2 linked regions of the Caenorhabditis elegans genome follow. The protein of the gene in region 1 interacts with the protein of each later gene in a pairwise test. Each region holds a gene or a part of one and is shown on either strand. Other genes may lie near its edges. The genes, in order: R07B7.2 and dnj-10.

Region 1 (16,911 bases):
TGTTTTAAATATTGCTTTTAAAACTAAATGTATTAGATTTGTTTAGCTAACACAATACGTTTAATTAAAGTAATACTTGAGCTTTTGAATGAAATTTTAAAATACTAAAACCTCCAATAATCGTTTCATGCGATTTCCATGTACGTGCAAAACTGGATATCAACAGTTCAAGGGAAGTTCCCTGCAGAAAATTGGTAATGAAAACTTTGTGTATGCTTTTAAATCTGTGATAAGAAATGTTTCAAATTATTCTGATAAGATATAGTAAGCAAATTTGTAATCAGTTAATTTTTCACTAAAAGTTGTTAATTTAAAAAATATAGAAAAGCTTCAGTACGTTCATTCTCTCATTTAAATTTTTTTCTAATCTTGAACAGTGAGTACTGCAAGTGAGGAAGAGAATAAAGAACGCGTCCTATAAAAAAAACTAAAGTTTTGCAAAAAAATGTATTCCGATCAAAAAGTGGGGAACTCAGTTTTTATATCTATTTGTTGTAAGAAGTCGATCAAAAATTGTTTTTTCTTTCAGTTTCATGTTCTAATTATGTCTACATTGTAGGGGCTTTAGATTCCTAGAAAAGTGACACAAACTTATTTTCCCCGCATTTTGATTAAAATCAAAAATTTCAAAATTTTTTGAAACGTTTTATTATGAAGCTTGTCCATTTTAGCACCATGTAACTAATTTTTAAAAAATTATTTCTTTACTGACTTTTTTATATGTCTAATTTAATACCTAAAACTTTCTGACAACTTCTTACCCGTTTCCAAGTTATTATCCAATATTTTCAAATTGTAAAAAAAAATTTTCAAATCTCCGTATCACAACTAGCGTGTTCCTTTTCCAACTGTTTATAAAATGATTTTTTGTGACAAAAACCGAGTATTACTATAAGTTCAAAACAAATTACTTTTTTAAGATGCCATCCGTCGCAATCGCGGGTGCCGGTCTTGTCGGAGCACTAAATGCGTGTTTCTTTGCTCAAAAAGGATGGGATGTGTCTGTGTACGAGTTCCGTAAAGATATTCGAACAATGAAACATGTCCAGGGACGTAGTATTAATTTGGCATTGAGTCAAAGAGGAAAATCTGCACTTGAAGCAGTTGGATTGAAAGAATATATTGTAAATCAAGGAGTTCCATTGTATGCAAGACTTATACATAATAAAGATGGGAAAACGTACAGCAGGCAACCATATGGAAAACCAGGAGAGGTTTGAAATATTAAATATGGAAATATATAAATGTATGGAATTTTAGCATATTGTATCCATCAATCGTCGGCATTTAAATGAAGTGATGATTACTCAAGCAGAAAAGTCTCCAAACGTCAAATTTTTCTTTGAGCACAAAGTGAAAAATGTTGACTATGATAAGAAGCAGCTAGTAGTACAATGTACATCTCAACCGTCGAAGATACCTACTTTTGGTAATAAATCCCCACCGTAAGTCAATATGGAATAACTTGCTGCTTTTATAAAAAATTTAAAATTATTTTCAGACAAGAGCATGCTGAGTTCCACGTGGAAGCTGACCTCATTCTTGCATGTGATGGAGCTTATTCTGCTGTTCGAAGAAGTCTTATGACCATTCCGAGGTATGTATTTTTTCCAAATTTTCAAAAAATATTATTTTACAGATTTGACTTTTCCCAAGAATACATTGAACATGGATATGTAGAGTTAAATATAATGGCAAATAACAATGAATTTGCCTTCGAAGAGAATGTCTTCCATTTGTGGCCACGAGGTCATTTCACTTTGATTGCATTGGCTAATAGGGATAAAACTTTTACTGGTTTGTTGCAAAACTAATTTGTTTTATTTGATAATCCGTATCATTTACAGTAACAATATTTGCGCCTTTCTCGGAATTTGAGAAACATATGTCGACATCAGAAGATGTACTTTCATTCTTTGAAGAAAACTTCCCAGATGCATTTTTATTACTTGGAAAGTAAGATTAAGAGTTGAACATTCACATTAAAAACTTTTTTTCAAATTTAGGGAACACATAGCAGATACATTTAATCGAGTAAAACCACAACCTCTTGTTTCAATCAAATGTTCACCTCATTCATTCTTCGATAATCTCGTTCTAATGGGAGATGCTGCTCATGCAATGGTTCCTTTTTACGGACAGGGAATGAATTGTGTTCGTTTTCATAAATTAATGAAAATTGTTGAAAATTATTTTGTAACAGTTTAGGGCTTTGAGGATTGTCTTGTGTTTAGTGAAACACTCGAGGAGTACGGAAATGATATTGGTAAGTCACAAACATTCAATTGCGAATTGTAATTCAACTTTTAGCCAAAGCAGTCAAAGTCTACTCAGACGGTCGAGTCAACGATGCTCATTCCATTAATGATCTTGCAATGTACAACTACGAAGAACTCAAGGATCTTGTGAATAAAAGCTCCTACAAACTTCGTAAAAAGTTTGATACAATCATGAACTCAATATTTCCAAAAAGCTGGATTCCATTGTACTCTATGGTTACTTTCTCACGAATTCCATACTCGGAAGTAATTGAAAGAAGAAAAAGGCAAGATAAGATTCTGTCAAGAATAATGACAACTACATCTACATTAGCTTTGATTGGGGCTGCTGCTGGTATTTATGTGAATAGAGGAAAACTTGGTTTATAGCTTTTATTGTTTAATGATGCGTGTTTTTTAGAAAGTTCAAAAAAATCTGATGATAAATTTTTACAAGAGTTTTTTCCCGACTTTACATTATCATTACTGCTGTTTGGTTCTATGCACAGATGATTGTTTATCTATAGTTTCATCTATGCGGCCTGTCTGTCGTTATATTGTGACCTACATTCTTCCCACTTGCTCTTTTGGCCTCCCCGTCGCTGTGTAAAAGGTGATGGTAAATGAGAGTTATTCTAGTCCCATAGTGGCAATAGCGGAACCAGGGGTGTGCGGCAAATCTCAAAATTTGCCGAGCTCGGCAAATTCGGCATCTCTCTTTTTTCAATATTTGCCGAGCACGGCAAATTCGGCAAATTTGCCGTGCTTAACAAACTCGGAAAATTTTGATAATTTTTGATGTTTTTTGGAACACCAAAACTACCGAATTCGTAACACACATCTGGTTTCTGAATTAGTTCCGTGTAGTATGTCTAGTTGAGCATAAAACTAACTCAATTTTGTGTCATTTTACTAAATTTTTGGCGAAAAAATCAATCAAAATTGTACTGTAAAATTTTTGACGTGTGCGGCAAATTTCGAAATTTGCCGAGCTCGGCCAATTCGGCAAATCTACTTTTTTGAAATTTGCCGTGCTCGGCAAATTCGGCAAATTCGGCAAGTTTGCCGCACACCCCTGAGCGGAACCCCCGTCACAACTAGAATGGTATATTTGGGGGGTCGACCAAGGACTACAGAAAGTAAAACAATTCAATCACGTATTTGACACGCTGAAGATTTATTTAATTTACTTGTTTTTCTTCCTAAATAATTCATTTCTGAACAATGCCGTCAGTTGTGATAGCTGGTGGAGGTCTTGTTGGATCTGCGAATGCGTGTTTTTTTGGACAGAAGGGATGGATTGTGGATGTCTACGAGTCGCGTTTTGATCCACGTGGAAACCATATGGAAAATGGAAAAAGTATTAATTTGGCATTAGGCGTTCGTGCAATGAGTACAATGAAGAGAATTGGTCTGAAGGAAAAAGTTATTCATATTGGTGTGCCAATTCGAGATCAAATTGCTCATTTTGGGGACACAAAAGGAAAACTGAAGAGACTACCTGTTCTCAATGATGACGATGTAAGTAGAAGTTCAAGAGTACACATCATTGCTTAACTTATATTTATGAATTTTCGTCGTTTTTATTTTGTAATATCTGAAAATTAACCGAAATATGAGGTGTCAAAATGTAATGCACAGTGTCAATGAGCTAATAGAGAATTTTTTATCGAAAACAATTAATTTAAACTATTTTAGTTCATTCTCACAATAAATCGTCAAGAACTGAGCCAAATATTGATCAACGAAGCGGAAAAATATAATAATGTTAAGTGAGTTCAACATCACAATTAATTAAGCAAACAGATTTTACAATTACAGATTTCATTTCAATTGTAAAGCAACCAAATTTGACTTGAAAAGTGAATCTCTGATTGTACAGAATTCGGATAATTTGAGTACTGTAGATGGTGATCTGTTTCTGGCTTGTGATGGAGCACACTCTTCAATTAGAAGAAGCCTTCTCAAGGCTCCAGGTTTCAATTTCAGTCAAAAGTATTCGGAATTCGGTTATATTGATCTGAGTGTAAATTCTACACAACAATGTGATCTAAAATTGGGAACACATTATTCCTGGAGAAGAAGAGGTATTATCCTTGTTGCCATTGTAAATAAAGATCAGTCATTGACTGGTAAGACTTATATTGGAATTATATCTATCTAAAGTCAAAATTTTCAGTTTCGATGTTCGCCACGTTCTCAGAGTTCGAGTCTAATTTGGTTGGTCCCGTAGAATCTGTTTTGTTTTTTAAGAACAATTTTTATGAAATCTTCAAGATTCTTGGAGAGTGAGTGGCTTCATTTTTCCTTGTTGTTTTCGAACGAATATTATTCTAGAGATCACATCAGAAACACAATTGCCAGAAACAAACCGCAGGCAATTATAAGTGTTCAATGCTCACAGCACGTCTTCTTCGACAAATTGGTATTGATGGGCGATGCAGCACATGCAATGGTTCCATTCAATGGTCAAGGTGTCAATTGTGGATTTGAGGATTGCCTTGTGTTGCAGGAAATTATGGATCAATATGAGGAAGATGAATTGGAAGATGTTATCAAAGAGTATTCAAAAGTTAGAACAAATGAGACGAATATCATTAATCAAATGGAATGGGATGTCAATTTAACGGTTAGATTTCTACATTTTATATTTCTTCGGGTGCTCATCTTGTAAGTAAGATTCTTGATTCTATATTGATAAGTGTCAAAATTCTACGAAAACATAAATACACAGTTCTGAAACATAATACTTTTACTATAGCGAGATTTCATGTTACTTGATAATTTTTGTTACAGCTCACGAGTTCCGTCCATGGCAGCCTGGGATGGATTCGAGAAATACGTGCACACATAAAACTATTGTTATGCTTCATTTTCCCATCATCGTTCACATTGGCAGCCTTCTCTCGGGAGAAATACTCTGAAATTGCCAGAAAAGCACAGATCGTCGAGAAGTGCACATCCTTATTCACAAACGTTTTCATTGTTTTCATAATTTCTGTCATTAGCCTCTTTTGGTATTGTGTGTTGGCAGTTTTATGGGCGAATTGACACCAAGATATACTCTACAGTACTCGGATACTGTAGAGGAAATCTTCAAGCATACTGTCTGCAATGTGCCGTCGTTTCTGGTGTTTGCGTCCAAGAAGTCTCGTGATTTAAAAACAAGTACCGATATTTTAAAAACGATTTTCTTTGCTGAATAAATATATTTATAAATACTGTTTTTCAGACATTTATTGAATTAAAATCCGTTTTTTCCTTAAATTTATGAAATTCCCCAATACGAACTATGTATTCTCTCGTTGCTCACTATGAAACCCACTTGAATGTTCCACCTTGCCCACCGAAATCGATTTTTTTTTTAATTTTTTTTACATCAGTGCAAACATTAACAGCTGTCTAGTGCACACTCAGACCGGTCGGTTCTGCTGCTATGCAGTAATATCTGTTTGCTCACCGATCATCAGTTTTATTATTTTCAAAAAAGAAACAGCATTTAAAACGGGAATTTGTTTTTTTCAACGTATAGGCCAAACACTGAATAATTTGGTTTTGTTATAATTGCTCTTCTACGCTGTGAGTCATCAATCGATAACCGCTCCGCAACCGCAATTGCCGTTCGTACTCTGCCACGCGACTTTCCCATCTGCTCTTCTTCTCTCACTCTCTTTCCCCCTCACTCTCTCTCTCACATTTTCGTTCATTCTATTCACCATCTTGTTACACTCATATCGTCTTATATTTTTCATTGTCTGTTCTTTTCTTTCTAAAAACAGTTTATTTTCAGTTTTATCCGCATTCTTCATATCGTTCATCGAAATGGCTGAAAAAATCAACATGTCTCTGGATGAAATCATCAAGCATGGCCAGAAAAAAGTGAAGTCCGAGCGAGTATCTGCACCAGCAGGAGCATCTACTAGCAACAAAGCTGGAAACAAACCCGTGAGTTTTAAAATAAAATAAGCAACTTTTAAGAATAAATAATTTTTATAGACTCGCCCAGGAAATGCCGGAAGAAACAACCGCAGAGTCCCACCAAGAAAGAGTGCTCAAGTTGTTTTGGCGAACAAGGTTTTGAAGAAATCGAAAGCAATTGCTGCTCGTCGTGCAGCTGGAGGTCAAAAACGCGTTTTCGGTGCCCGTGGAAAACCTGCTGCGGCTGCAGGATTGAGCGCTGTTGCCACCAAGAAGCTGGTTAATAAGCTCGTCAAGGTAAATCTTGTTTATATAATTCATTCTAATAAACCATCACATTACAGAATGCCCTTCGCAAAAGAACCAATATCACGACTGTTCCAGTCGTTCGTAAGCGTGGAGTACGTTTTTACCAGATTTTGTTCTATAGTTGAATATCGAGCTTTGAAAAATGGATTCTTGAAGTGAAATCTGGATACCACACGCATTAAGCGTTGTAGTAAAAGGCTAAAAATCAGGTCGAGAGTTTGATTTATTCCTCTCGTGTCGCGATAGAACCTAGACGTTCTTCGTGTTTTTTGAAACCGCGATGAATAGTTGGAAATACGATCATCCACTATTGAAAACCTGATAGAAAGCCAGGCTTCTGCCAAAAAATCAGAACAGATGGTCTCAATTTGTGTGAAGTTCCTTCCGGAGAGACAGACAGCAACTTCTCCTCAGCTTCTTCAGCGTGTCGAGAGTTCTTCCAATCTTTCACGGAGGTAAGGTAAATGATTTCAGGGTGTTGCTGCTTCAACTCTTGCCGCCAGACGAAATTTTGCATTGAAACGAAATGTCACTGCTGCCCAAGTGATTCAACCTGTGAGAACAATCATCCAACAGAGACCAATAACGGCTCCTGTTCGTACTATCGTACAGCATGTTCGTCAAGCTCCAGTCAAAGTTGTTCGCCAAATCATCACTGCTCCTGTGCAATCTCAAGTGATTCGTAGAGCACCGCAACAACAAGTTCGTCAGAACCGTCCACAGCAGAGACGCAATGTGATTATTCAATCACAGCAATCGAGAAGATTCCGTCCAACAAACAACAACAATAATAATCGTCCAACAGTCATTCGTCGTCAAGTCGTTCAACAAGTTCCAAGACGCGCTCAAGTTCAAAGACCACAGGTAAAAATTCATTATTATTCAGTATCCAGTGTCAGAATTATATTGTTCGTTTTCAGTATGAGCAGGTCGTGCAAAGAGTAATCCAGACTCCAGTGGCTCAGCAACGTTTCCAACGCCAGCCACAACGCTTCCAGCAACAGCAACCTCGTTTCCAGCAACAACCCCCGCGCTTCCAGAGACAGCAGCAGCCACAACAACAGCAAGTTGTGAGAAGCGTCAGATATGTGAATGCAAGACCACCTGTTCAGAGAAACAATGTTGTTCGTCAAGTGAGTATTCAAACTTTTATTTGCTAGAATTGAATTAAAGATTATGATTGAGTTTTACAATACTAGCCACCAATTGGATTAATATTATGAAACATAAATCTTAGGAATCTGTGGTGACCAATATATTGGTTTTTCAGGTTCAGCCAGTTCAATATCGTCCAGTCCAATACGTCACTGATCAGGTTGTCAACTCTCGTGGTCGTGGATTCCGTGCCTTCTAATTTCATCAACTCGTACACAATCAAGGATACTCAGAAGCTGCGTAGTTGTCTACACACCTTGCTTCATTTTATAAATTTATAATTCCTTCTTCCATAAACACCATGTTTAATAAAATACTCCGCCATACTCATTCTATTCACATCCAACAATAAACATGTTGCGTGTCTATCGAAATTAGTTACTTCTCTTATGTCTACAATAAGTTCAGTTGGATTTATTTCAACATTTCAGATGACATCCCGTAACAGGGTGCGAACAAGTTCTAATAGGTAAGAGACTAAATATCACTTGACTTCTCGGAAATAATATTTTTCAGTCTGGATCCAAATGAAGATCCTGTGTCGGGGCTAGAACGAGTCATGTCAAACTCGAATCTAGAACACGTTGCTCGGCAAAGAAGACGACTAGTGCGGGCAAAAACCAGCAATTTTTTCTGAAAATCAAGTTATTTCAGGAGGAAGAGCTGTTATTCTCAAGGCAATTGGATGATGTTGGTCGAACGGATAGCCATGAAGCATTGTCTGCTAGATACGAAAGTCTGAACTATGAAATATCTGAGAATCGACTCTATAGAGATGCTGAAAAGAAACCATCTCACCAGGTTTTGAGATTTCATAGATACAGTAACAATGTCACTTTTCAGTTAACTCTTTGGCGAATTTCTCGAAATCGTTGGTTTGTATGCTTTTTGATTGGAGTTTTCACTGGACTCGTCGCTGCATTTATTGATATTATGGTACACTACAGTAAAGATATCAAATTTAACTGGATTCTCAAATATTGTCAGTTATACTTATCTAACTAATCTATTGAAAACGAAACATTCAGTGCTCTCAAAGTGTGGCGAAGAGCAACGTGGAACGACTGCAGGGTGTATGTGGACCGTAATGATAGCTTGGATAGGATATAATTGTGTTCTCGTAACTATAGCTGCAATCCTTGTGATTTATGTAGCTCCGATTGCTGGAGGTTCTGGAATTCCTCAAATAAAGTGTTATCTTAACGGAATTGCGATTCCTGAGGTGTCATTTCCAGCTCAAAAATTTCTGAAACTTTCGTTTTTTCCAGGTTGTTCGTCTCAAAACGCTCGTTTCAAAAGCAGTTGGAGTTGCATGTTCGGTTGGCGGTGGTCTTTGTGCTGGAAAAGAAGGTCCTATGATCCATTCTGGAGCTGCTGTAGGAGCTGGGATATCACAGGGAAAAAGTTATTCCCTTGGAATCGATTTCGGACTTTTCCGCGAGTTTAGAAATGATCGAGAAAAAAGAGATTTCGTTTCTGCTGGTGCTGCTGCTGGAGTTGCTGCTGCTTTCGGAGCACCAATCGGAGGAGTTCTATTCTCTTTAGAAGAAGGAGCAAGCTTTTGGAATCAAGCTTTGACATGGAGAATGTTTTTCTCTGCAATGATCTCTTCATTCACTGTAAATTGGATTCTCAGTTGGTTCAATGGACGTAGTGGATGGCTCTCATGGACAGGTCTCGCGAATTTCGGAGTTTTCGAAAATAAGGATTATAATATTTGGGAAATTCCTTTGTTTCTTCTCATTGGAATAATTGGAGGCTGTCTTGGAGCTTTATTCAATTATTTAAATACAAAACTCACCGAGTTCCGTAAAAAATATGTGAGCAGCAAACTGGGTCGTTTGTTCGAATGTCTTCTTGTTGCCGCGGTATCAGGATTTCTTGCTTTCCTCACAATATTCGCAATTGACGATTGTCAGCCGATAGGAGCGAATCCTACAGCAACATCAACACAAATCAATCAAATGTGGTGCAAAAAAGGAGAATATTCTGCAGTAGCTTCTTTATTTTTTCAAAATCCTGAAGAAAGTGTGAAGAGTATGTTTCATAGTCCGATAAGTAAGTTTGATCTTTCAAAAACATTTAAGATCCAAATATTTTCAGATTCTTTTGGTGTCACAACTCTTGTTATTTTTGGAATTGAATATTTCTTGCTCACTCTCTGGACGTTCGGAATCTCTGTACCTTCTGGTGTCTTCATTCCAGCTATTCTTACTGGTGCAGCATGGGGCCGCCTGTTTGGAATTTTTGTTGAACGACTTTTCCCTTCGGTTACTGGAATTGATCCAGGAAAATACGCATTGGCAGGAGCTGCCGCACAACTCGGAGGCGTTGTTCGAATGACAATTTCATTAACAGCTATTATAATGGAAGCAACTAAAGATATTACATTTGGATTACCTATTATGTTGGTGTTGATGGTAACAAAATGGGTTGGAGATATGTTCAATGAAGGACTTTATGATGCTCATATTGATTTAGCAGAAGTTCCAATTCTTGGTTGGAATCCACCAAAGATGAGCAGAAACATTTTGGCAGAGTTGGTTTTTTTGTTGTAACAATTCGAAAATCTTTTTTTAATTTTCAGCCGCGTGATGCGAAAAGATGTTGTGGCTCTAGAACGGCGAGAAAGAGTATCCAGAATCGTTGAAATTCTTCGTTCCACACTTCATCATGGCTTTCCAGTAGTAGATAGAATCGAAGAATCGCCATACGAATCACTCCCTGATTATGGACGCCTGAAAGGTTATATTCTGCGATCACAACTGTTCAAACTTCTGGAAAATCGAATTTTCGAGGAAGAAGGAGCTTCAAACTCTGCACTTCCAAATGATTTTTATGAATGCCAGGATGACGACGAGTAAGTGATTTATATTGAATAAAATACGAATTTTAAAACAGAAATTGTTTGGTATTCAACATACTACGAAAATATTATAATTCAATTGTTATATATTTTATTTTCAGCCAAATGAAATCTGTTGCTGAACTCGGATTAACAAATTTCGACGAGTCATGTTTCCTGGACATTGAGCCCTACATGCATCCTCATCCGCACCGTGTTCCACTGAACACATCTCTTCCATTCATTTTCCGACTTTTCCGTGGACTTGGACTTCGATACCTTTTTGTGGTGAACGATGATAATCATGTGAGGACGAACATTATCCAAATTTATTTTTTAGTATTGTTTTTCAGCTTCGTGGTGTGATTACTAGAAAAGATGTTGCCAGATTCCGTGAAAGACGCCGAAACCGCGAGTATCATGTTGATGAACTTTATATTTCTGAATCTTAAATGTTCTTATTCTCTTTCATGTTCTACCATTGCCATTTTGAAAACGTGTTTTTTAAGTCATGGAAATGCACAGAGAGTTTAAAAAATATGTTTGCGTTTAGCAAGATGTCGTTTGGTCTCTTTTGGGAAATAAACTGAAAAACTGAAATTTCGTTTGAAAAAATAAATCGCAACACTACGTTGCAAAATGTGAACTTATTTTGAAATTTTCTGTTCATGTCATAGACACTTTCTTAACAATTTTATTCTGTGATAAATCTTAATCGGTACGTTTGTCTAATGTGTTTTCCGGTATTTAATTTCATTAATTATACTCTCTAGAAGGCGTGAAATAATACCATTATGATTTTATAGACAATTATAATTTTATAAAGGAGCATCGGTAATTAGGATGTACAGAAACACAATATAATTTTTAAAAAGGGTTGAAAGTAAACTTTTTTCAAAATTTAGGTATTATTGAGCCAAAGATCGCATTCGTAAACTCTACAATACCTAAATTATGATGCGAACTAATGCAGGAAAACAGACCAGGACTTTTGTGTATTTAAATATGTTTTGAAAAACGAAATGGGTTACTGTAGCCGAGGTAAAAGTACGCAGAGTTGCGTCATATCCGTTGTAAATAATTCGCCAAACGAAAATTATTTTCTAAATTAGTTTTTAGGAACATTTTTGTTTGGAATTTTGTATGAAACCATTTCACAAACCCTCATTTGATTTTTAATAAATTAATAATCATTATAACGCTTCAGATGAGTGCTTCTGACGGTGATAACACAGAACAAACTGGACGACGTCGCAGTTTTGGGAACTTGTTTGGATCAACACGTGTGCCTTTTTCCTCACTTTCCGATATTTATGCAAATCAAAGTACGTTCGCAAAAGATCAAGGAGTACAATCTGAAGTCGACGTTGCTGATGCCTGGAGCCAACATCACGCTCCAACAAGAGATCAATATGTCCAATCAGAAATTATCACGGCTGTGGAAACTTCAAGCCAATACGAGGTTCAAACAAAGGATAAGGAGGTGGAAGCCATTTGTTCAACGGCGAACAGAACAACACAAACTTGTCATGCAACCAATATCGCCGGTACAAATTCAGAATCTTGTTTAATCGAAAAATTGGCAAATTCACTTTTGGAACATCTTCAAGCTCGCCGGCCCATCAAAGCTCGGACAGCATTTCCAATTTATCTCCAGCAACCTGAACAACTCCAGTTGCTTCCTCCACCAGATCAGCAATCCGCGCCTGTGCCGCCGAGTCATCCGTTGCAAAATTCTGAAGGTAACCCACTTTAATATTCGAACTTTTTCCCATATTTTAATTCGTCCTACGCTCAGGTGCATACATTGAAAATAGGAACATCTCTTGTATATGTCCGCAAAATATTGAAAATATTTCTAATACTCATCATAAAATTAAATTTAAGCTCGTCAAGAGGATCTCGAACAAACTGAAATGCCACAAGCTTCGCAACAAATTGGAATTAATGAGACCAGTCTCAATGATGCCGATTCTCAATCGTTTTTCCATTCGAGACTTCATCAAACGGAACAGAGAGAAGGTATAATTGGCAATAGAGCTTACTAATATAAAATAAATCAATTATTTTGAGAGTAGTAATTTACAGAAACAAACTCAAACAGCATGCAGTCAATTCATTCACAGGTTAATCCACCAGCAAGTCAAGAAACAATGGAAAGTCATTTCCCTGAAATGATCAATTCTCGTAAGTCAGACCATCAACTTTGCTTCTCGTTTAAAAAAGTAACTTCAGAGCGATGCTCATCATTCCCAACTCGACATGATGGATCTTCGCATTTTGCTCGTTCATCATCTGGCTTGCTCGGAAGTATGTCTTCACAGCAACAACGGTCCCAATTTCCTGTTCCCCAAGAAGAAGGAAATCAGGCTGAAGACATGCGAGGGGCTCAGCAACCACATAATGCTAGAAATTTGTTTGGAGGTGAAATATTTTATATTAAAAATGCACTTGGCTCTGTTCAGTTTCGTGTTCGGCTAAACTTATTCTAACAGACAATGAAGAAATTCAAAATTTGTCTTCCACTGCCACCAGAAATCAGTGAATTCAATAATTTTATGAATTGACCAGCCGTGGACCGCACCTCCGGCGCGGCTCCCGACCTCTTGGAGCTAAAAACTAATGTTTCTGAAACTACCGTAATCATGCAGTACTCCTACCGTATCACTATTGTACCACTACAGTAACCCGACTATATCCTTACACTAACCTCAACTCACTATCCCTCCAGAAGCTAAAATTTCGCAGACTACAAAGACTACATAGACTACAAACTATGGACAAACGGAATAAGCGCTTTATATATATATATATATTAGTAAATGATAGTAATTAATTAATTTTCAGGGGTCGGAGGGATGTTTCCATCAATGCCGAATTCCTCGGGAGGACAGGGACCCGATTGGCAAAATAATCATTTCATTCGCCCATTCGGTCAACCTGCGGCTGGCATGATGAGTTGGCATCCAGGAATGATGCCATCTCGTGAGTATAAATTTTGACTACCTCTAATTATAGTCAATTAAACTACTTATGAGAAATTACACGTTTTAGATATGAATAACTCCGCGGCTCCATCTTCTTTTTTTGAATCTCCGTTCATGCCGCCATATGATGTTTTTATGCAGCAGCAGATGCTTCTACACTCTCAATACGGTTCGCTCAATTTCTGCAACTTATAGTAAAGGTATATGTTACAATTTCAGCGGCGTGGGAGCAACAACGGAATCATGCAATGATGTATCAAAATGCACAAAATCAAAATTCGGCGAATGTAAATCCTTCATTTGCCGATATCCCTTCTGCAGCGCCGATTTCTCAGCCAGAAGTCAATGTTAATGAAAACCAAATCGTTCCCGAAGAAACCGAAAGGCTTGAGGCTGATCTTGAAATCGAGAATACTGTCGATGCGATCATCGGTAATAAAAGTATAAATTACGACCTAACATAACATAACATAATATAACAGTAACAGATGTTGGATCCGTCAACCAAGCTGTATCTGGAGTCAATTCGATTGCTCGAGAAACAGAGGAAATCAATAATCAAGATGTGCGAAATGAGACACCAGTGGAAGATTTCGGATCCATAATATCAGCGATTTCTATAACTGAAAATAGAAACGAGTCTCCAATGCCAAGCGCATCTGAAACCGGTGAGGATCGAACACCAGTTGTTTAAATATAGGTTACACAATGTACACCAGGGATGTGTGGGATCTGGCTTTTTCGGCGAACGGAATTCGTCGTTTGTCGCTCAGTCCTGATGCGCCAAGTTATTTCTATATTATTTTATTTCTATTTTTCAGATGACACATCTCCACATACCTCGCGCTCAAGATATGGATCTTCTGTTGCCATTTCCACCGGTATGAAAAGAGCACGACTCGAACCATCACAATCTCCACCGGGCTCATCTCGCAAAAATTCAAGGAATGAGACGACCAAGAAAAATTCAAAAACTCCTTCTTCTACAATTGATAAAGAACCTACTTCATCAAAGAGGACAAGAAAAGGTATTATTGATTTCGAATTTATGTAAATAACCTTTATAAATTAACTACGTTTTTCAGCTCCAGCGCGCTACGAAGCGGAATGGAACGCCGAACAAGGAGGCGATACTCGTCGTGCAAAAAGGTGGTCAAAAGACTTCTATAAGGCTCCCAGTAAAAAGTAGATTTAATTTTTGAATAGGTAATAGTAAACTTTATTGTTTTTTGTTCATCATTCGTTGCCCATTGTTTCACCGATTTAAAAACGCGATTTCTCAAATCTCATTAATGTTTCCCTTTTTATTGCCAGATGTCTGGAAACCTAATGTTCCTTCTCCATTTTCTATGGTTTCTCTTGTTTTTTTTAAGTTTTTTTCTCATAATAAAGTTTTTTTCAAGCTCTGTCGTCCAAAGTAGTCTAGGTGTTCAGTGGAATTATTGAATGTAAGTTTCAGCGTCTTCAAGGGACATTGAGTGGGAATGGGGGAAGTGTTGGGTTACTGGTGCTGCGTTTGTATTAGAAATCAGAAAGTAAATTGAACGAAGAACAATTGTTTATTGGGTGAAATGTTCGGAATATAAATTTAATTTCGACATTAATCTATATACATAACCGTAATATTTAATTCTTTTTTCGAATTAATCAAGCAAATTGATGTTTCTTTTTCTCTTCTTCAATCGTCTCTCGTGTGACAAATGTGAATGATTGTGGTTTATCAGTTGCCATTGGAAAGAATAAAATATTGGCAATAAACATAAGTAAACCATTGAGAATATATACATGACCCCATTGAGTATGAGATGATTCATCTGATACAAATATGGCAACTGTTGCTGGAGCAGCAAATAAGGCAATACATTTCATAAATTGAATCATCGCAAGCACAAAGTGAGCATATTGACTGAAATTTGTTTATGGATAATTGCATGGTTTTCAGAATAATTTACAGTGAATTCATAATTTTCAGTGTTTAAATTTTTGGATTTGGACACAGTTGGAGTATCACCACTTAGGATTTTGTCTGAATGCACTCAAAATACTCAGAATTACCAAATTTCCTAGTTTTGGAAAATTACCAAAATAAAAAAGAGCTTTTGAAAAAATCCAAAGCAATTTCACAGGTTTCAACCCTTATTATATTCAAATAAAAGTTATTTGGCATTTTCTAAAGATTCTGTCATCCATTTGCAGTGATTACAGGATGTCTCATTACGGATTGATCTACAAAAAATGCGGGAATTCATTTTCCAATAAAATTTCACGGGCAAACCCTCATTTACTAGCGTGCTCATTTACTTGAAACGTCAGCACGCTTCTAATCATGCGGAATCAGTTTAGAAGTCTGCTTTTTAATACCGAAATTTTCGTAGACCTAGATCAAGCCGATATGGGACCCTCTGACACCACATGCGGTTGAAGAGAAAACTCGTAATACTTCGACCGCGAAATCATTTGTCCTAATTTTGGTAGAGTATTCTAAAGTTACAAATATGTAGGAAAACGTTAAGGAAACAATTTTTGTACAGTTAAAATTTTAAGTTTTGAAATTAAACCCACTTTTGTCATTCAAAAAATCACTACGATCATGGTATGAGTACGGTTGGGGTGAAACAAAATCAAAGCTTACCGTGACGCAAATGTTCCACATTTATAAAATCCACCACAATTTGTTCCCATCAAAGTGTAGACAATACTGAACATAATAACACTTGTATACTTCCATGAGACAGGAATATATGCCAAACTGACACACATGAATCCAGCAAGTCCGACTGATGAAGTATTGAAGAACCACATTCGAACACGTTCAGAAAGGAATTGACGATCTGATAACCATCCAGATAAGAGTTTAGCTGGCATATGAGCTACTGCCGACAAGGATATCAACATTCCAGTTTCGACAACACTAAAGTCAAGGACTTTACGGAAATATATAGGAGAATAGGTCAATAGAAGAATCAAAGTAGTCATTTCAAAGAAAGAGTTGATCCAAACAGTCAAAATAACTCGATTCTTGCAAATTTCCCAATACGGAACAAACGAATCCCTCTCAATATGTGCTTTTGTTTTATCTTTTTGAATAGTTGTCAACTCTTTTGCTGACACTTTTTGGTTCAATTGTGGATCATCATTATAAAAATAGAGCCATGCAGCAAAAATGATAAAACCAGCAGCTGCGTGAACATAGAATGCAGACTGCCATCCATATGACGATTTACACAACTGAAAGAAACAAAACAGTCTAGAGATTATCTTCATGTCCAGTTACCCAGCCAGATGCGGCATTTGTCATCACTGTGGCTGCTGGGCTGAAACTTGTTAGAATTGAAATAAAGAGTCCGGTTTGAGCAAGTGGAGCCCATCGGACACATACAATTCCAATAGCTGCAAAGTCGGCGGAATAAGCAAGACCCTGAAAAAATTAATGAAATTT
Region 2 (16,161 bases), on another chromosome or scaffold:
TTGGCAGTTTCATTTAGTTCAGCAAATCTACAAAATGAGCAAGTGTGGCCATTTCTCTCAATATTTTCATTGAAATTTAGTGTTAGAATATAGAAAAATACCTATTTGTTTGATAATAACATTTATTCTAGTTGGGACAATGCTCAAAAAGTTGATAATTAAGGATCGATTTTATAATTTTAATTTCGTGGGGATTACTGTAGGTGATACTTTTAAACACACAGGGTGGTCTTGTCCGAAAAGGTAATTAGTCGTTTTTTTTTTATTGTCACACTTATTCACTCAAAAAACACGTTTCCCTTTTGTCTCCTGTCAATGAGTTTTTGTTTCAAGTCAAAAAACGGCACGCGACATACCGACACCTTGTATGGGGTAAGATAACCATCACATTTTATTAGGGGAGAGAGAAGAATTGAAATGACATGGGACAATTTGAAGACGAACATTTGAAATTTGAATATTCACTGAATAGATTTCAAATAGGACTTCCACGAAGGCATATGTATATTACCTCTGTGTACTTTTGCCATAACTTACGCGCGGTGGTATTGCCACGCGGAAAGCGGATAACAGTAACTCGTGTCGATCAACAATTGCAGCATATTATTCAATTTTAATATTAATGAAAATTTTAAAAATACGTGTAAACACTATCAGAGGCCCTTAGATTTTACAGTAATTCGTTGTCCGCGTAGCGAGACCTTGCGCGTAAGACATGGCGAAATTATCATCTTTAGAAGTCTATGTCATTGGAAAGTTGGTAAATTAAAACCACCCGAACTTCTAAAACTTCTTAAATTCCAAATAACAAATTTAAAAAAATATTAATTTCAGAACAAGCGTGCCAAACTCAAAAAGTCGACATCTTCTGTTCCAAGAGATCGATGCTCCTCCGTCACTCCAAATCCTCATAATCATCCGTCAATTCATGGAGGATATCAACTTATGGCTCAGTTGGCAAAGGTTCAGGCTCGAGCTTACATGCCATGAAATATTGATTTTTGTTAGGCGGTTACGGTAGGCCTTGTCTACCGTAATCCTAAAGTATCCCGGTAATAACTTTCTAGTTACTTTATCAAATTAGTGATATTCTCCTCTAGCCAACTAGTCTTCCTCCATTCATTTTTTTTCGTTTAACTTTTTCTCTCGACCAGATCTTATTTGAAATCGAAATACCTCAACATTCAGTTCTCCAAAAAAATCAAAATTTCCTCCACACACGTGTCTCCTCTTCAATGCTATATGAATTATCTCATGACTTTTCATTGTTTTTCTTTTTTGAATAAAGTTGATTTTCATTCAAACGATTCATGACAATATACACATGGATAACAAAAATTAGAAGGGGATGTATAGATTAATCACAGTTAGTAACAGTTAGAATTATATTCTTTTTAACCACTTTTCTTCCAAAATGAGTCGATTGTCACCATTTTCTTCGCTTTTGGTCTCTTCTCTTGAAGTTTTCGCTTTTTCGTAGAAGGTCTTTCTGGTTTCTGCGTTGATTTATTTTCCACAGAAACGCAAATTAACTCGGGTCCGTCATCGTTTTGCACTTTCAGAATACACTCATCGACGTGGCAGTTCATAACGTCTAAACGATTTTCGACATCAGTTCCACAAATGGGACAAGGACGAGTATCCATCATTATGACATCATCATCGTCGACGTTTTCCGATCCTTGTAGATTTTGAATTTGAAGTTTTTTCTCATTCCAAAACTCTGTGATCTGAAATAAAATGTCTCAAAAAAATAGAAGAAAACATTGCTTTATATTTATCAGTTATGGTTTTCAAAATTTTCTGACATACCGTTTTGCTTCTTTTTTTCTCATCTTCTTCAAATATCAATTGTGATAATCTGACTCCTAACAATCGAATTTCTTTTCCTTTTTCTTTTTCCAACAACTCCAGTGAGAACTTTTGAATATCTTCAAGTGACTTCACCACATCAGAAGGTGTCAACGATCTTGTGAGAACATCGAATGAAGATAATTTTAATTTTAGAGTTACAGTTTTTCCTCCGACAATTCCTGATTTACGAACATCTTCTTCAAGCATTCTACAGATTTCTTGATGCTCTTCTAGGAGGATGTTGAAATCCGAAGTTGGAGAAAAAGTTCTCTCAACTGAAATGCTTTTTCTTCGTGGATCCGATTCAGATGGACGACCTGGCAGTCCGAGAGCCGTTCGAAGGAAAGATTCTTGTGAGAGAGGCGTGAAACACAAAGGGTATAGGTTCTTCTTCAGATTCATATCACCAACAGTTTGAATATCCATTGCTTTCAGTTGAGCTTCGCATACACGACCAATTCCTCCAACCTAAAAAATTATCTAGGTAAAACTAGAAGGTTATGCTTTAATAGTCTCACCTTACGAATCGGTAAATCCTTCAAAAACTCCATAATCGCGTTTTTATCATTTTCTAACACATATTGACCATTTGGTTTGTTCAAATCAGAACAAATCTTAGCGAGCATAAAGTTAGATGCGATTCCAGCAGAACATGTTAATCCCGTGAGTTGTTCAACTCGAAATCGAATTTCTCGAACAGCCTCCTCTCGTCCAGTTCCGAACTCCACATGGTCGTAGTAGATTTTCCGCGATTTTTCGCATTTTGGACAGATCGATTCTTCGATTTTCAAGTCTTCCAAAGTATTTTCATTCTCGTCGAAACGGGGTAACCAACATGGACAATCTCCGCCGAATCTGTGACGCTTGAAGGTTTCTAGTAAGCAAATAGTTTTTTGTTAATAATCAAATCTAAATCACTAACTTTTTTCTGTATTACTTGCCACATAGTCTGTCAAATCTATAAATGCCTCATCCAATGACATCATTCCAACATCCGAATCGTATTCCATGAAAATTTGTGAAAATTGGCGACTGACTTTAGTGTATTTAGGGTAATTTCCTGGAACAATCGTTAGACTCGGACAAAGTTTATTTGAGATGAAGCCAGGCATTCCAGCACGGACTCCAAAACGGCGAGCCAAGTAGTTGGATGTGCTCTGAAAGAATAGATTTAAAGCTTTTCCGAAATCGAAAATTTACTTTTCAAATTGAGTTAGGTGCTTACCAGCATTGCCGATGAGCCTACGGCCATAGGAACTGTTCTCAGTGCAGGATTATCTCTCATTTCAACTGCGGCAAAATAAGCATCCATATCTATACAAACACAGTCTCTTGATAAATCTCTAGATGATTCCAGTTTCATCTCAAGATTCTCCATCTGAAAATTGGAAATTTGCTCTAAGTAAATTTATTAGCTTTTAAAATACATACCAGTATCTCAGATTTTTGTCTTTCTTCTCTGGTTGCTGTTTGCAAACGATTTTTGATTTCTAAAACTTTCTCTTCAATTCTTGATTGTTGTTTTTTGGAAAACGACGAGTAGGACGCTGATGTGTTTTCTTCGATGACTTTCGTGATTTTCTCCTTATCCAGTCCATTCATTCCAGCTTTATTATCGTTGAAAGTCAGCATTTTTCACGAAAAAGAGCCGGATTTTGAAATTCGCGGAGAAACTCCACTGATTGTGAGTGTGCAAATGCGCGTAATGGTGTACTTACGTACATCGGCAACACATTTGACGACATATCAGAAAGCGGCGCCAAATTAGAAGTTGAGTGCGCGAGAAAAAACTACGCGTTAACCGCCAATTTTCACTTCCCCACAGATCTGTCTCGAGATTCTCGAGTCATTTTTCAAGTTTATTTGTTTGTCAGCGGTTGTTTTATTGAAGATTTGTAAAATTTATAACAAAATGTGCAATAGTCTATTAAACCTCGTGAGATATTTGAAGAAACTTTCCCCGTTTTAAATATTTCGTGTATTCGTGGAGATCGCGGGAATGTTTTGCCTGTTTCCGTAAAATTCCTCTATTTCTTTTATTTTTGCTTGCAATTTTCGATTCATTTCAGAAGTTTCCACATTCGCAAAACGAATGGACGTCTCTTATTACGATGGTCCCAAGGATGAAGTCGCCGAAGCAATGCTGAAAAGCGCGGTGACGGCCATGAGATTGGGACAATACGAGGATGGAAAAGGACGCTTAGAGGAGATAATGGAGTTCGGAACCTCAAATTTTCAACTACTTGGTACAATCTACATGTATTACGGAAGAGTGTGCAGGCATTTGAACCATGATGCCAAGGCCTTGGAGTTTTTCGAACATGAGTTGAACATGTTCAAGTAAGTGAATCACAAAAATGAGCTGGACATTCTATAACCTTAATTTTTCAGATTGATCTTCAACTACCCAGAAGCATGTGATTCCACACGTCGCATCGTCGAGCAGGCACTCAAAATGGGAAAGTTCCCCAAGGCTCGACGGTTTGCTGAGGATCTCATTGATTACACCAGCAATAAGAAGAACGGAGAGAAGTATATCGGTCAAGCTCGAATTTTGTTCGCTTCCGTGTGCCTCGAAGGATGTGAAAGAGACGTCGAGAGTAATCAAGATGAGAAGAAGAAGCTTTTGTCAATATGTGCTGAACAGATTGCAGCCGTGAAATTGTTCAACGAGAATAATACGGAAGGAGCTGTGTCTGAGACCAAAATCATGTTACTTGAGGCGAAATGCTTGTCACTAGACGAAAAATACGAGGAATCGCGTCGCAAGTATCAAGAATGCATCGATTTTGCCATCAAAACAGACCAGTTTGAAGCAGTTCACATCGCCTATTACGACAAGGCTCTATATGCTGAGACAGATCTTCTTTTCTTTATTATCAGAGATCTCAGGTAATTTTTAGTTTTAACGATTAATAAAAATATCAATTCTTTATTCACAGAAGTGCTCTCTTCTACGCCACGAAATTCGGAAAAGAGCGAGATGTAGTCAAATATAAGTCGAAGCTATCCGAAGAGATGCTGAGAAATGGCGAATTCCACGAAGCATATCTCTACGGATTGGAAGCGCTTGTATCGATTCGGAAGCTTGGATTGAACGAATACATTGGAGATGTGTTGCTTACAATCGCAAAGTGCCTCATTGCACTTGGAAAAAGACGCCAAGCTGCTTATTTTATCATCTTGGGGAGTGTTCTGACCATCAACCAAAACAGTTTCAAACTGTTCTACGAGCAGATCGACGTGGCGATGAATCAAGAGAGAAGCGAAACGGCAACTGATCAAGATGTATGCCTCGCAATTGATTCGTCTCCTGATCCGACATCCTCGAATGACATGATTAATAAGTTCGTCGTCGAACTGGAGCACGCAACAAATGTGGAAACCTGGGAAATGATTGTCAACGGAATCATTGACGACCAGAAGAAACCAGTGGCGATCGAAAAGAAAGAGAACGAGGAACCCGTAGACATGATGGATCTCATTTTCAGTATGAGCTCACGTATGGATGATCAAAGAACTGAACTGCCTGCTGCCAGATTCATTCCGCGTAAGAAATGTTATAAATAAGCGTATAAGTATGCAAATTTATATTTTTCCAGCTCGTCCAGTGTCATCGGCATCGAAAAAGACTACAAAGAGTCACAGAATCCTCCCTGGACTCCGTGCCAATTGGACAAAAGTGCAGTCGATGAAGTTCGATGGTCACACAATGAATAGGATCCTGAAGAGGTCGAAGAAAAGCAAATCGTCATTGGATTCTACAAATTCGATGCAGGGCGATGATACTCGAAGCGATGATGTGACAATGACGTCCAAATAGGACCATTATTTTTTCTGTCAAATAATACAATCAAACTTTCTTTATTTATTTTTTTTTTACTTTCTTTCAGTAAATATTATTATCATTTTAGTGGTTCTTTTATTTTATTTGCTGGTCAGAAAAGCTGATTTTTTCAATTAGCGAAAATCCATCAAGTCATATTTCTATAGACTCTTTACTACATACGTTGATGACTTTCGTGATTTTCTCCTTATCCGGTTCATCCATTCCAGCTTTATTATTGTTGAAAGTAAATAAGCATTGTTTCCCGAAAAAGAGCCGGATTTTGAAATTCGCGGAGAAAAAGTTGAAAATTGAAAAATCCAAACGATGCTCCGATGTTCCGTCCGAAATGTGTGTTTTACCGTGACGGTGTTTGCAGACAGCTTGAAAAAACATTTATTTTTTTATTTTAATTTTATTAATTTATTATTTATTTTAGAATGTTCTATATTTTAAAATGTGAATTTGTTTCAGGGTACTCGGAATGTTTGTCTTAAACCGTTCAAGCGGGCTCATTCATCGATCTGTACCTTTATTAGCTCAAGTATCCACGCCTACGACTTCCACAACAAAATTAGGTTAATAATTCTCCATTTGGTGATAAACCAATTCTTTTCTGCTTTTTTAAAACATTATGTTACAGCTCAACTTCACACAACGCATGCACTAAGCAAAGAAGATTATTATAAGACTTTGGGTGTCGACAAAAAATCTGATGCAAAAGCAATCAAAAAGGCTTATTTCCAGGTAATATAAGTTTTTATCGAATACTTTGTAAGTATAAATACGTTATTTCAGCTTGCCAAGAAATACCATCCAGATGTAAACAAAACAAAAGAAGCGCAGACGAAATTTCAAGAGATTTCTGAAGCATATGAGGTATTTTCAACAAACAATAGAGCAGGCTCGAATCAAAAATATTAAGGTACTTTCCGATGACACAAAACGTCAAGAATATGATGCATACGGAAGCGGAGGTGGCCCAGCTGGTGGAAGAGGTGGTGCTGGAGGTTTCCACCACCATGGAAATGTTGATGTTAACGAAATTTTCAGAAGAGCATTTGGTGGAGGGGGTGGAATGGTGAGTTCTCCTTATGAATTCTTCTGAATATTATATTAATTATATAATTTTTATTGTAATTAATAAAAACTACAGTTTTATTTATTTTTTCGCTGATTCCAGGGTGGCTTTAATTTTGATAATTTTGCCCAAAGTGCTTTCGGACATTCTGCTGCTCAGGAAATGGTTATGGATATTTCGTTCGAAGAAGCTGTCCGAGGAGCCACCAAAAATGTTTCTGTAAACGTAGTTGAAGATTGTCTGAAATGTCACGGAACTCAAGTTGAACCAGGTCACAAAAAGACGTCGTGTCCGTATTGTAACGGAACTGGAGCAGTTTCTCAACGTCTTCAGGGTGGTTTCTTCTATCAAACAACTTGTAATCGATGCAGAGGAAGTGGACATTATAATAAGGTAGAGTTATTGATTTTTCTTTTATTGTAGCTTTTAATTTTTTCTTCAGAATCCTTGTCAAGAATGTGAAGGTGAAGGTCAAACCGTTCAACGACGTCAAGTATCATTCAATGTGCCAGCTGGAACTAATAATGGAGATAGTTTGAAGTTCCAAGTGGGGAAAAATCAATTATTTGTTCGTTTCAACGTTGCACCATCTTTGAAATTCCGACGTGAGAAAGATGATATTCACTGTGACGTAGATATTTCTCTGGCTCAAGCTGTTCTTGGTGGTACTGTAAAGGTTCCTGGAATTAATGGAGATACATATGTTCATATTCCGGCAGGAACTGGCAGTCACACTAAAATGAGGTAATAAATCTCCAAAAATTGGAACTTAAATATTCATTAAACAATTTTCAGATTAACAGGAAAAGGAGTAAAACGATTGCATTCTTACGGAAATGGAGATCAATATATGCATATTAAAGTAACGGTTCCGAAATATTTGACAGCCGAACAGAAACAAATTATGTTGGCTTGGGCTGCGACGGAACAGCTGAAAGATGGAACCATCAAAGGATTGGAGAAAAATCAGAAAACCGAGGAGAAGGAGACGAAGAAAAATGAGGAAAAGAAGTCTGAAGGTGAAAAAATATGATTTCAATTTGAAACAAAGGTTTTATCAAAAAGTTGTCTTTAAAAAATCGAGAAATTACCAAAAAAAATTCATTAATTTTTTTTTTTTAAACCGACATTATTGGTTGTAAAGATTCAAAAAGTTTGTAAAATTTTAAAGTTGTTTGAAAAATACCTGAAAGTCTTGTTTTTTTTTTTGCATTCTGATGCACTTGTAATCTCAATTTTTCCCCAAAACTGATTTTTGATTCTTTTCAATCCAAAATTACTAATTTATAGGTGCATCAGAATCACAAAAACGGAGAAGTGAGCCAGTAGCTGAGAATGCAGAAACTATTGACGAAAATCAAGAAAACGAGGGATTTTTCGAAAAAATTAAACGAAAAATTTTCGGGTAAATATATAAATTTCTAAACAAAAATTAAATATTTTTGTTTCATTTGTATTAATTGAAATTTTCCAGATAAGTCCGAGGAGAAGTCCGAGTCAAAAGAAGAGCCAAAAAACGAAGAATCTAGTGAAACCCCCGAGAAAAAAGCTGCAGAATCCTAATATTTGTCGCAATTTATCGATTACTGTCCCAATCTTTCCAGTTTTGTTCCCTTGAAATTTGTTTTGTCTCATTTGTAGTTCTATTAGAGTGATTATAGTGTCTTTTTTGTTACACTTGTTTTTTTTTTCTATTTTCAATTAAACCGAAACAAATTTATCAAATTTTATTCAGAAAGAGATAACACAACTAGCAATGATATGAAGAGTTTTATGGATGAAACTGGATTTTTTTAGAAAATGGTCTGTAACTTGGCTGAACATGAAAATATCAAAAACCTCAAAATTGATAAAATGTGGTAAAATGTTTTTCAGTTTTACTACACAACAAAGATTTTTTTATGAAATTAGATGGATGTTGAGTTATGACTGGTAGAACAGAAAAGTTTTCAAAAATTTTTGTGGATTTTGGTAAAATGGCTTTGACTCAATGTAACGCAACGAATAATTGGTATTTAAAAATGACAAAGATTTTAAAAGAAAGAAAAAACATTTCTGATCATTATGTCAGTTGAACATTTGTTTCCTAGGCATTCATGTTTCAAGATACGCCAGTTTGAAGATACGCAGTTTAGTGAGTTTAGGAAGTTATATTCTCATTACAAGCACAGGTACATGAGAAAACAGCAGTCAAAGAAGGGCGGTATTTTTTAATTTGGAATTATATTTTGCTCCTTATAATATTGGGAACACATCTGTGCTGCTAAATTATTGTTTTGTTAATTTAAACCGAAACAAATTAATCAAAATTTATTGTAAAATAAAAATACAACTAGCAAAATATTTTATAGGACAAAATATGAAAAACGGAATGTCGTGTGAAGATGGAATTGAAAAGATATGAAATCATTGTGATCTGTTCAGGCAAACTTTATAAAAAGCAAGGTTTTCGGGATAGTTTGAAAGAGCAGATCACCTGGATGTGAAAATACGGTGACATTTTTTTGGAAAAGGGAAAGAAAATGAAAAAAAATCGATAATTTATAGAAATTTTAGCCCGTTTTTAATTAGGGAAAGGGCGGTGAGTTAAGGATGTGAAATAATTGAAATTTCAAAATGGAAAAGTGGTTTTTTTTGCACAGAATTTTTCATTTTTCATCTTGAAGGTTATATTAAACACGCGATGACTGTATTTAGAACCCATTAAAATAATGGAGAAAAATGTCTCAAAACTGAAATACTGATTTGAGAAAACCATTTTCCCTATTTGAAAACTAAAAAAGATGACAAAATATAAAAATGGAAAATCTATTTGAATGCACGATTGAGAGAATATCTTGAATGACAAAATCTACAACTTTGCATATCAATTGCAGACGATGACGTGGAAATGGTAGCAGCATCGGCAGTTTGATCAATATATCGAATACATCGGATATCAGTTGGTATGAATGGTATGATGTGTTTGGAAACATAGAGATTCTCCACTATAAAAGCTTCTCGGGACATGTTACGAGCTCGCTTTTGCATTAAATTTGCGTAGAGTTCTGATACAAGGACTACCTGGAAATATTTCAATTTTCCGTTGATCAACATAAAAAAGCAAAAAAAAATGCTTTTCAAAAAAGGCAAAAGTTTTTTAAAAGTTTCAACTATATGCATATTTTTGACCACAAAACCAAAACAAAACAAACTCAATAATATAAGTAAAGAAAACATTATGGAAATCATTTTCTCGCAAGGTCTTGTAAAACTAAATCGCACTTGAAACTGACTATTTATATATATGAGAAAAATGAAGGAGTCCTCCAAAAATGATGCAACTCAAAAACGAAACATCAAAACGTATTTTTCAACATTTCGCATTTCGCATTAGAGACATTTCGCATAGAACGGATTTATGTGGAAATTTATGGACGTTTTCGTCCTTTTTAGATACATGAGCACATGTTCTCCTGTTTTATTTAGAGAGATGACTTGCTTTCAAAATTAAAAAAAAAAACTGCTTATACATACCTTTCCTCCTACAACCGCCAATGCAGATCTAGCGTCTTGAATTTTTCTTCCGAAATAATGAATCTTTCGAATATACTGTACTCCTACCAAATCAATGCACATTGTAGTTATTGCAAGACCTAAAAATATTTTGAATTTTTGTTTTTTTTTCATTGAAAATTTACCTAAAATGATATAGAGCAATATGATATACATGTATCCGTCCCTTCTGGGCATCAAGTCGCCAAACCCGACCTAAAAATATTAATTTCAAAGAGTTCAACAAACTGGAACAAATTACAGTAGTCATTGTAATGAAGGACCAGTAGAATGAAGTGAAGAAAGACCACGGCTCTAATTTTGACATTAGGACACCGCCAAACGCTGTATATACTATCAGAATAGCTAATACCAGGAATGCAGGAATTCTGGAAAGACAAAAATTGAGATGAGTGAATTAAGTTTTGAAAGGTAATTTTCAAAATCCATTAAAAATGTATTAAAAATATTTTACAGTTTTCCAACGACCAAAAAATCTGTCGAACATATACAAAAAACCAAAGCCAGCTTACAATGGAACCCCTAGTTTTTGTGATTGATCGATTGTTTCATAAATGTGTTTTATAACATTACGAACAAAAAACGCTTCTTGACTGGCAAAAACGTTTACCTTTTCTCCTCGATATTCATATCATGCCCCATTCCATGACTGTGACAGTGCTCACAAACGTGCTCTCTCCGTTCTTTTCGATGTCGTGACAATATGAGATATTTTAATTTCAAATAGTTTCCATACAACCAAACAAGATGTTCAGATAGGAATTTACCTGAAAATTATTAAAATTATAATACATTTTCTACATTTTCCCTTTAAAAACAAATTTTAGATGCGATTAGCTGATCGCAGTAGCTATCAGATGTAACTGATGTTTTTTTAAAAACTTCACGTACTACAGATTTTCTAGTAAAAGCATATAAGTGCCTGCCCACTTACCCAAGTCAGCGATGGTAACCAGTGTTAGAGGTATTCCAAGCAAGGAGAACAATATACACCATATCCGTCCAATGTTTGTCACTGGAACTGGATTACCGTATCCGATGGTAGTGACGACGGTTACGGCAAAGAAAATGGACGATGAAAATGTCCATGTCTCCGTTGCTGCGTTCTTTTTTACCTGAAAATAAATTAAATTATTTTTGAGGTATTTTGAGGTAGTATTATTGTATTAAAAGTTTGAATAATTTTGGTTGAATTTGGAATAGGTTGAAATCAAACTTTTCAAGTAAAAAACAAAGTTTCAATAGAAACAGTTTGAGAGAAATGATAAATAGCTGACCGGAAATGAGTACGAAAATCTACTTTTTAAACTTTGAGTATGCTCTGAAATATTTTCCTGTTATTTCCTTTTTCCATATTCTGGCTTTCAATTATCTTTAAAAAATTTTAAAGACACATCTTGGTTAAGTGTTTGGTGAAACTATAAATCTAAAACTATTTTTAAAGGAAAATCCTTGTCCCTTTGGATTAAAAAGAACAAGAATAATTTTGAAATGTTTAATTACAGACACAGACAATTGCTCAGTTAGCGCATAAAAAAATAAGCAGACAATGAACCAACAGAACAAAAAACTTGAAAGGGTCTCTCTATCTGACAAGTTAGAGTTTTGTCATCTCCCGCGGGAACAGCTGAGCTTTCTCCACTTGTTTTTGTCTAATCTCTCCACATTTTTCATGATCTATTGTTGTTTCTATCTTTTGATAGTCACAAGGGACCTCTTGTGTTTTCCGTTTCTATTTCACACCGCCAAACAGACTCAAAGAATGGAAGGTTTTGTGGAAAAATAGGAAAAAGATGAATTGGTGAGGATTATCAAGGATGGGGGAAAAGAGGTCGATAAGGAAATAGTTGGGTTAGAGAAGAACAAATAATAGTCCGGGTAGTTTGGATGGTTCAGATGTTACTTCTATATTGATAAATTATAAGTTGTGTCGATGCAAAATGTTAATTTAAATAGCCGATCGTAGTTTGAAGCAATCAGTTTACTGGTCAATTTCCGGCACATTTCGGCCAATTTTTGCCAAAATATTATATAAGTTTAGTTAGAAAGTTTTCAAAGCTGGAAATAAATTCGGCAAGACTTGGCCTAGATTTCCAAGTTTAGCTAAGCTTTGATTAAACTTCTGTCAATTTTTCATGAAAACTGTTCGTATTTTTTTATAGGGTCGAAATCGGGATGCCTGGAGTTGTGCCCGGATTGAGAAAAAAATTTGCAAATAGCCATCTCAATTACTCAATTACAAATTGCTTGCAATACATTTTCCGTACCTTCTGGTCGTCACATGCAATCTTTACAACAAAAAGTCCTGTCAAACTCACCTCGTTACTCGTCAAGAAATACTTCTCAAATGCGACAAACAGCTGATCGGACATATTGTGCATGTGCCGTTCGGCTAGTGACTCCCATTCGTATCGTTCTGCAGACAATTGTGTTCAGGAAATTTTGTGGATTTCCATTTTTTGCCAGTTTGGTCGAATTATGTGTTGTAGGTATTGTCAAACAAGTTTCGTAAATTTGGCAATGTGCCAAAACTTTCAAAAAAAAAAAACAACGCTTTTAAAGTGTTTTAAAATACTTGGTCAATCTGAATTAATATAATTGCATGTAAATCCCCACTACTGATATTAAAAAGTTATGCCAATCTAACTTACTTGTCTCATTTCCAGCAGCCAAACGAATTAAGTCGTCAACAAACTCATTTTGACGAGTGTAGATCAGTTTAAGCTGAAAACTATTATTATTTTGAAAATTTCATATAATATTTCGAAATATTCATAGAAAGAAAACAATTGTGTCCACAAAAATGCTGTTGTAAATATATAATTAGGTGCACTCATGTGCTGCCAGGTTGTTCTTTGTTGAAAAATTCGATTTCAGGATGCCATAAAGTAAATGGGAAAATATAATGGAATCTAACGCGACATTGTTTAAAATACTTTGGCCGCTTGTGACGCCACACTGTTAAGTTTTAAAAATATATAAATTGATCCAAAAAAATTGAAACTAACTATAAGCTTGACGAATAAAATCTAAGAGCCTAATATAAAAAAGAAGCTTTTTCTCATGCTAGGTACTAAAAAAGGCGCCCGAAAAGCACCTGGCCACCGCAGCCTTTTTTCCAGAAAATCGGAAGTCGTTCGCAAAGAAAATGGAAATGCTTGAGCCAACTGAGCCCATCTGCCACGTCAATGAAATAGGCAGATGGCTGAATCGAACGGAAAAGAAGAAGGATGTGACGAGTGAATGAATGGCTTTTTGCGTTGAAAAAGTACCACTTTTGGTAGAATAAGATGGGCGAGTGGGAGTGAAGGAGTAGAAATAATAGAAATTGAAAATTGGAAACTTTTTCATAATTTTAACTAGATTAATTTTAGATGTCAGAGATAAATCAAAATGTGCTTCAAAATAAAATAGTCTGAAATAGTCTTAATCCTTTTTATGCAAAATAAAAATTCGAACTTCCCCGAAATTCAAGTGGCATAATTGTTGCAATTTACACAGTAGTTTTGTGATTTTTGCGCCAAAAGACAAATTATTATCAAGTGTGAAAAAAGTGTGCGCCTTTGAAGAGTACTGTAGTTCTAAACTCTTGTTGCTGCAGGGTTTTTCAAAGTTTTTGTCATTTTTTTAATGTTTATCTTTATATTTTTAATTCATACATGTATTTTAAAAATATATTTTTAACAAAAACTGTGAAAAATCTAAATAGATTTCGCAGCAATGAGAGTTTGCAGTTACAGTTATTATATATCTTTAAAGGCACACACCTTTTTGAAATTAACAAACAATATCGAGTCGAGACCGCGTACCGTATTAATATCGCAAAACTTAGAGTTTTATTTGTTTTTATCTTGATGAAAGGCTTTTCAGGAGAACGTTTTTTTTTCAAGAAGAATTATCACCTCTCTCACGAATTATCAACTCGTTCTCATTTTATTTCATTTTTAAGTGTACATACACATCGCTGTTAGTTACCATCGCACGGATGGCCGAGTGGTCTAAGGCGCCAGACTCAAGCGAAATGCTTGCCTCATGCTCGAGGTCGACTGGGTGTTCTGGTACTCGTATGGGTGCGTGGGTTCGAATCCCACTTCGTGCAGAATTTTTTATGTTTTCAACCTTGACCAAAAGTCATATTCATCCAATTCGGTACCCTATTTCTACGTTATCTTGTTCCTCAAACGATGGCCTTATGTTTTGATCTTCAACACTGCATAAGGAAATGTATACCAAAGACGAAGGTCGTTTTGATTTTTCAGTAACTGGCAGCAATGATCCTTAAATCAGACTCCCACGCCCCTTCCGTTGAAAATAGGGCTTCGATCGCCAAACTAATCTTATAAACACTAGAAAAGTTTTTGTTAAAAATCCGTATAAAAAGGGAATAATGTGATGAAAAAAGGCATCAAATTTCAAATTTGAACATTTCAAGCTTAACTCGAACTTCAGCTTTCTCGCGAAAAAATGAGTCAAATCTTCCAAATTCTTGTGATCTTCGCCATTTTGTCAGCATTGCAAGTGAATGGGTAGGTGAAGTACAGTACTTTATGGCATCAAATGAAATATACTCAGATTCCTCTTTCCAACTTATTCGTCAGGATATGACTACGATTGTTATGGATACGGTAACAATGGTTACGGTAATGGTGGATACGGCTATGGAAATGGTGGCGGATACTATGGAGGATACAATGGATACTAAATAAAATAAATGAATACTTTTTGACGGATTTTTCATTGAAAATTTATTTAATAAATGTTAAGCATTCATAAGTCTTGATGTAGCCTACCCTGAAGTATGATTTCGGACGGAATTATTAGGTGTAGGTCGTTTCCTACGTTTGCCTTATATGCAGGCAGGCACGCCTTCGCGGAGATCAGGGGTGTATTTTTGCTATCGGGCAATCAAATGAAATATAGATTTGAAAAATTTTGTATTTTTTTTTTCTCTAAATGTTTTCAATTTTCAAGCTCAAAACATTTCAAGCCTAGAAGGAATTGTTTCAAATTTCTTCTCTCAAGTTGTGGAACTATTTCCAATATAATATATTTATTCCAAATTACTCCCATGTGAACTATAGAACACGTATTGTCTCATCATTTCACTTTTATAGTTTCTGTATTACAACACTTGAATGAATGCTTGGTGTAAACAATTTATCAATGTGATAAACAATTCGATTTGACGAATTTTTCCGAATTCTCAGGATGACCGAGTTTCGATGGTCAGTGGGAGTAAATGAATTGGGCAAATTGGTAATGGAAATCTAGTTTTTATGGTGAGTCATGGCAAAGAAATCAAACATTTAAAAATTACAAGTGATAAACCATGAGTAAACTTAATCAGGCAAGCTGGCGTTATCAAGTTGTTCAGTTGTTATAATAAAAATTACAAAAAAGATTTTCAAACAATGTAGATTTTTTCCACTATCAATATTCGGTAACTCAAAATAAGTCTCCGTAGCATAGGACCTGGCAGCCTACACCTACATCTACATCTACATCTACACCTACCCACACTACAAGTACACCTAAATTAATGGTTCAAATGAGTCAAACTAACCTGTTGTTCCTTCATCATTTGCTCGTGCGGCTGCTCAACACTATAAAATATCAATGCTCCAATTACTGTATATGTACACGTTAGAAGTACAAGTGCAACATGAGGTAGGACGAGTTTAGCAAACTGAAATAGGAAAATCACTTCAATTAAAATATTAGAATAAATACTAAGTTTTCAATTTTTAATTAATTAATTTCAACGCGTTTGAATAATTTTGTTAAACTGTCGAGGAAAAAAATCTCATAGTCAGCGATCGAATTCTCACGAGTTCTGCCAATTTTT

The links.
Region 2: the proteins of R07B7.2 (region 1) and dnj-10 interact in a two-hybrid assay, tested with the Caenorhabditis elegans proteins (one large-scale study listed by BioGRID).

What each region holds. Positions count from the first base shown.
Region 1 is NC_003283.11:12,054,529-12,071,439, reverse strand, and holds R07B7.2 (PUM-HD domain-containing protein), read left to right. Parts: upstream 1-11,690; 5' UTR 11,691-11,692; coding exon 11,693-12,227; intron 12,228-12,372; coding exon 12,373-12,507; intron 12,508-12,573; coding exon 12,574-12,672; intron 12,673-12,720; coding exon 12,721-12,909; intron 12,910-13,332; coding exon 13,333-13,470; intron 13,471-13,539; coding exon 13,540-13,641; intron 13,642-13,691; coding exon 13,692-13,913; intron 13,914-13,954; coding exon 13,955-14,140; intron 14,141-14,293; coding exon 14,294-14,500; intron 14,501-14,557; coding exon 14,558-14,661; 3' UTR 14,662-14,878; downstream 14,879-16,911. Other genes in the region: kmo-1 (Kynurenine 3-monooxygenase), read left to right, coding at 921-1,214, 1,261-1,445, 1,502-1,597, 1,640-1,797, 1,848-1,956, 2,007-2,154, 2,209-2,266, 2,311-2,648; kmo-2 (FAD-binding domain-containing protein), read left to right, coding at 3,483-3,779, 3,957-4,030, 4,080-4,390, 4,438-4,546, 4,596-4,887, 5,055-5,309; pqn-53 (Prion-like-(Q/N-rich)-domain-bearing protein), read left to right, coding at 6,081-6,203, 6,255-6,473, 6,521-6,577, 6,960-7,349, 7,406-7,618, 7,756-7,839; clh-6 (Chloride channel protein), read left to right, coding at 8,072-8,109, 8,157-8,247, 8,295-8,441, 8,484-8,622, 8,669-8,862, 8,909-9,698, 9,744-10,179, 10,228-10,500 and 2 more; F10C2.7 (Major facilitator superfamily (MFS) profile domain-containing protein), read right to left, coding at 15,120-15,378, 16,105-16,700, 16,747-16,890.
Region 2 is NC_003281.10:8,625,011-8,641,171, forward strand, and holds dnj-10 (DnaJ homolog dnj-10), read left to right. Parts: upstream 1-6,154; 5' UTR 6,155-6,164; coding exon 6,165-6,258; intron 6,259-6,323; coding exon 6,324-6,427; intron 6,428-6,478; coding exon 6,479-6,559; intron 6,560-6,605; coding exon 6,606-6,761; intron 6,762-6,863; coding exon 6,864-7,154; intron 7,155-7,203; coding exon 7,204-7,505; intron 7,506-7,556; coding exon 7,557-7,780; intron 7,781-8,051; coding exon 8,052-8,166; intron 8,167-8,235; coding exon 8,236-8,239; coding exon of another isoform or gene 8,240-8,324; 3' UTR 8,325-8,555; downstream 8,556-16,161. Other genes in the region: Homeobox protein engrailed-like ceh-16, read left to right, coding at 835-990; polk-1 (DNA polymerase kappa), read right to left, coding at 1,395-1,730, 1,813-2,322, 2,373-2,728, 2,777-3,011, 3,080-3,232, 3,286-3,486; gpr-1 (G-protein regulator 1), read left to right, coding at 3,947-4,194, 4,246-4,746, 4,797-5,404, 5,457-5,677; twk-7 (TWiK family of potassium channels protein 7), read right to left, coding at 9,570-9,824, 10,278-10,396, 10,442-10,511, 10,558-10,684, 10,927-11,083, 11,251-11,431, 12,635-12,732, 12,968-13,040 and 1 more; fip-1 (Fungus-induced protein 1), read left to right, coding at 14,781-14,842, 14,889-15,018.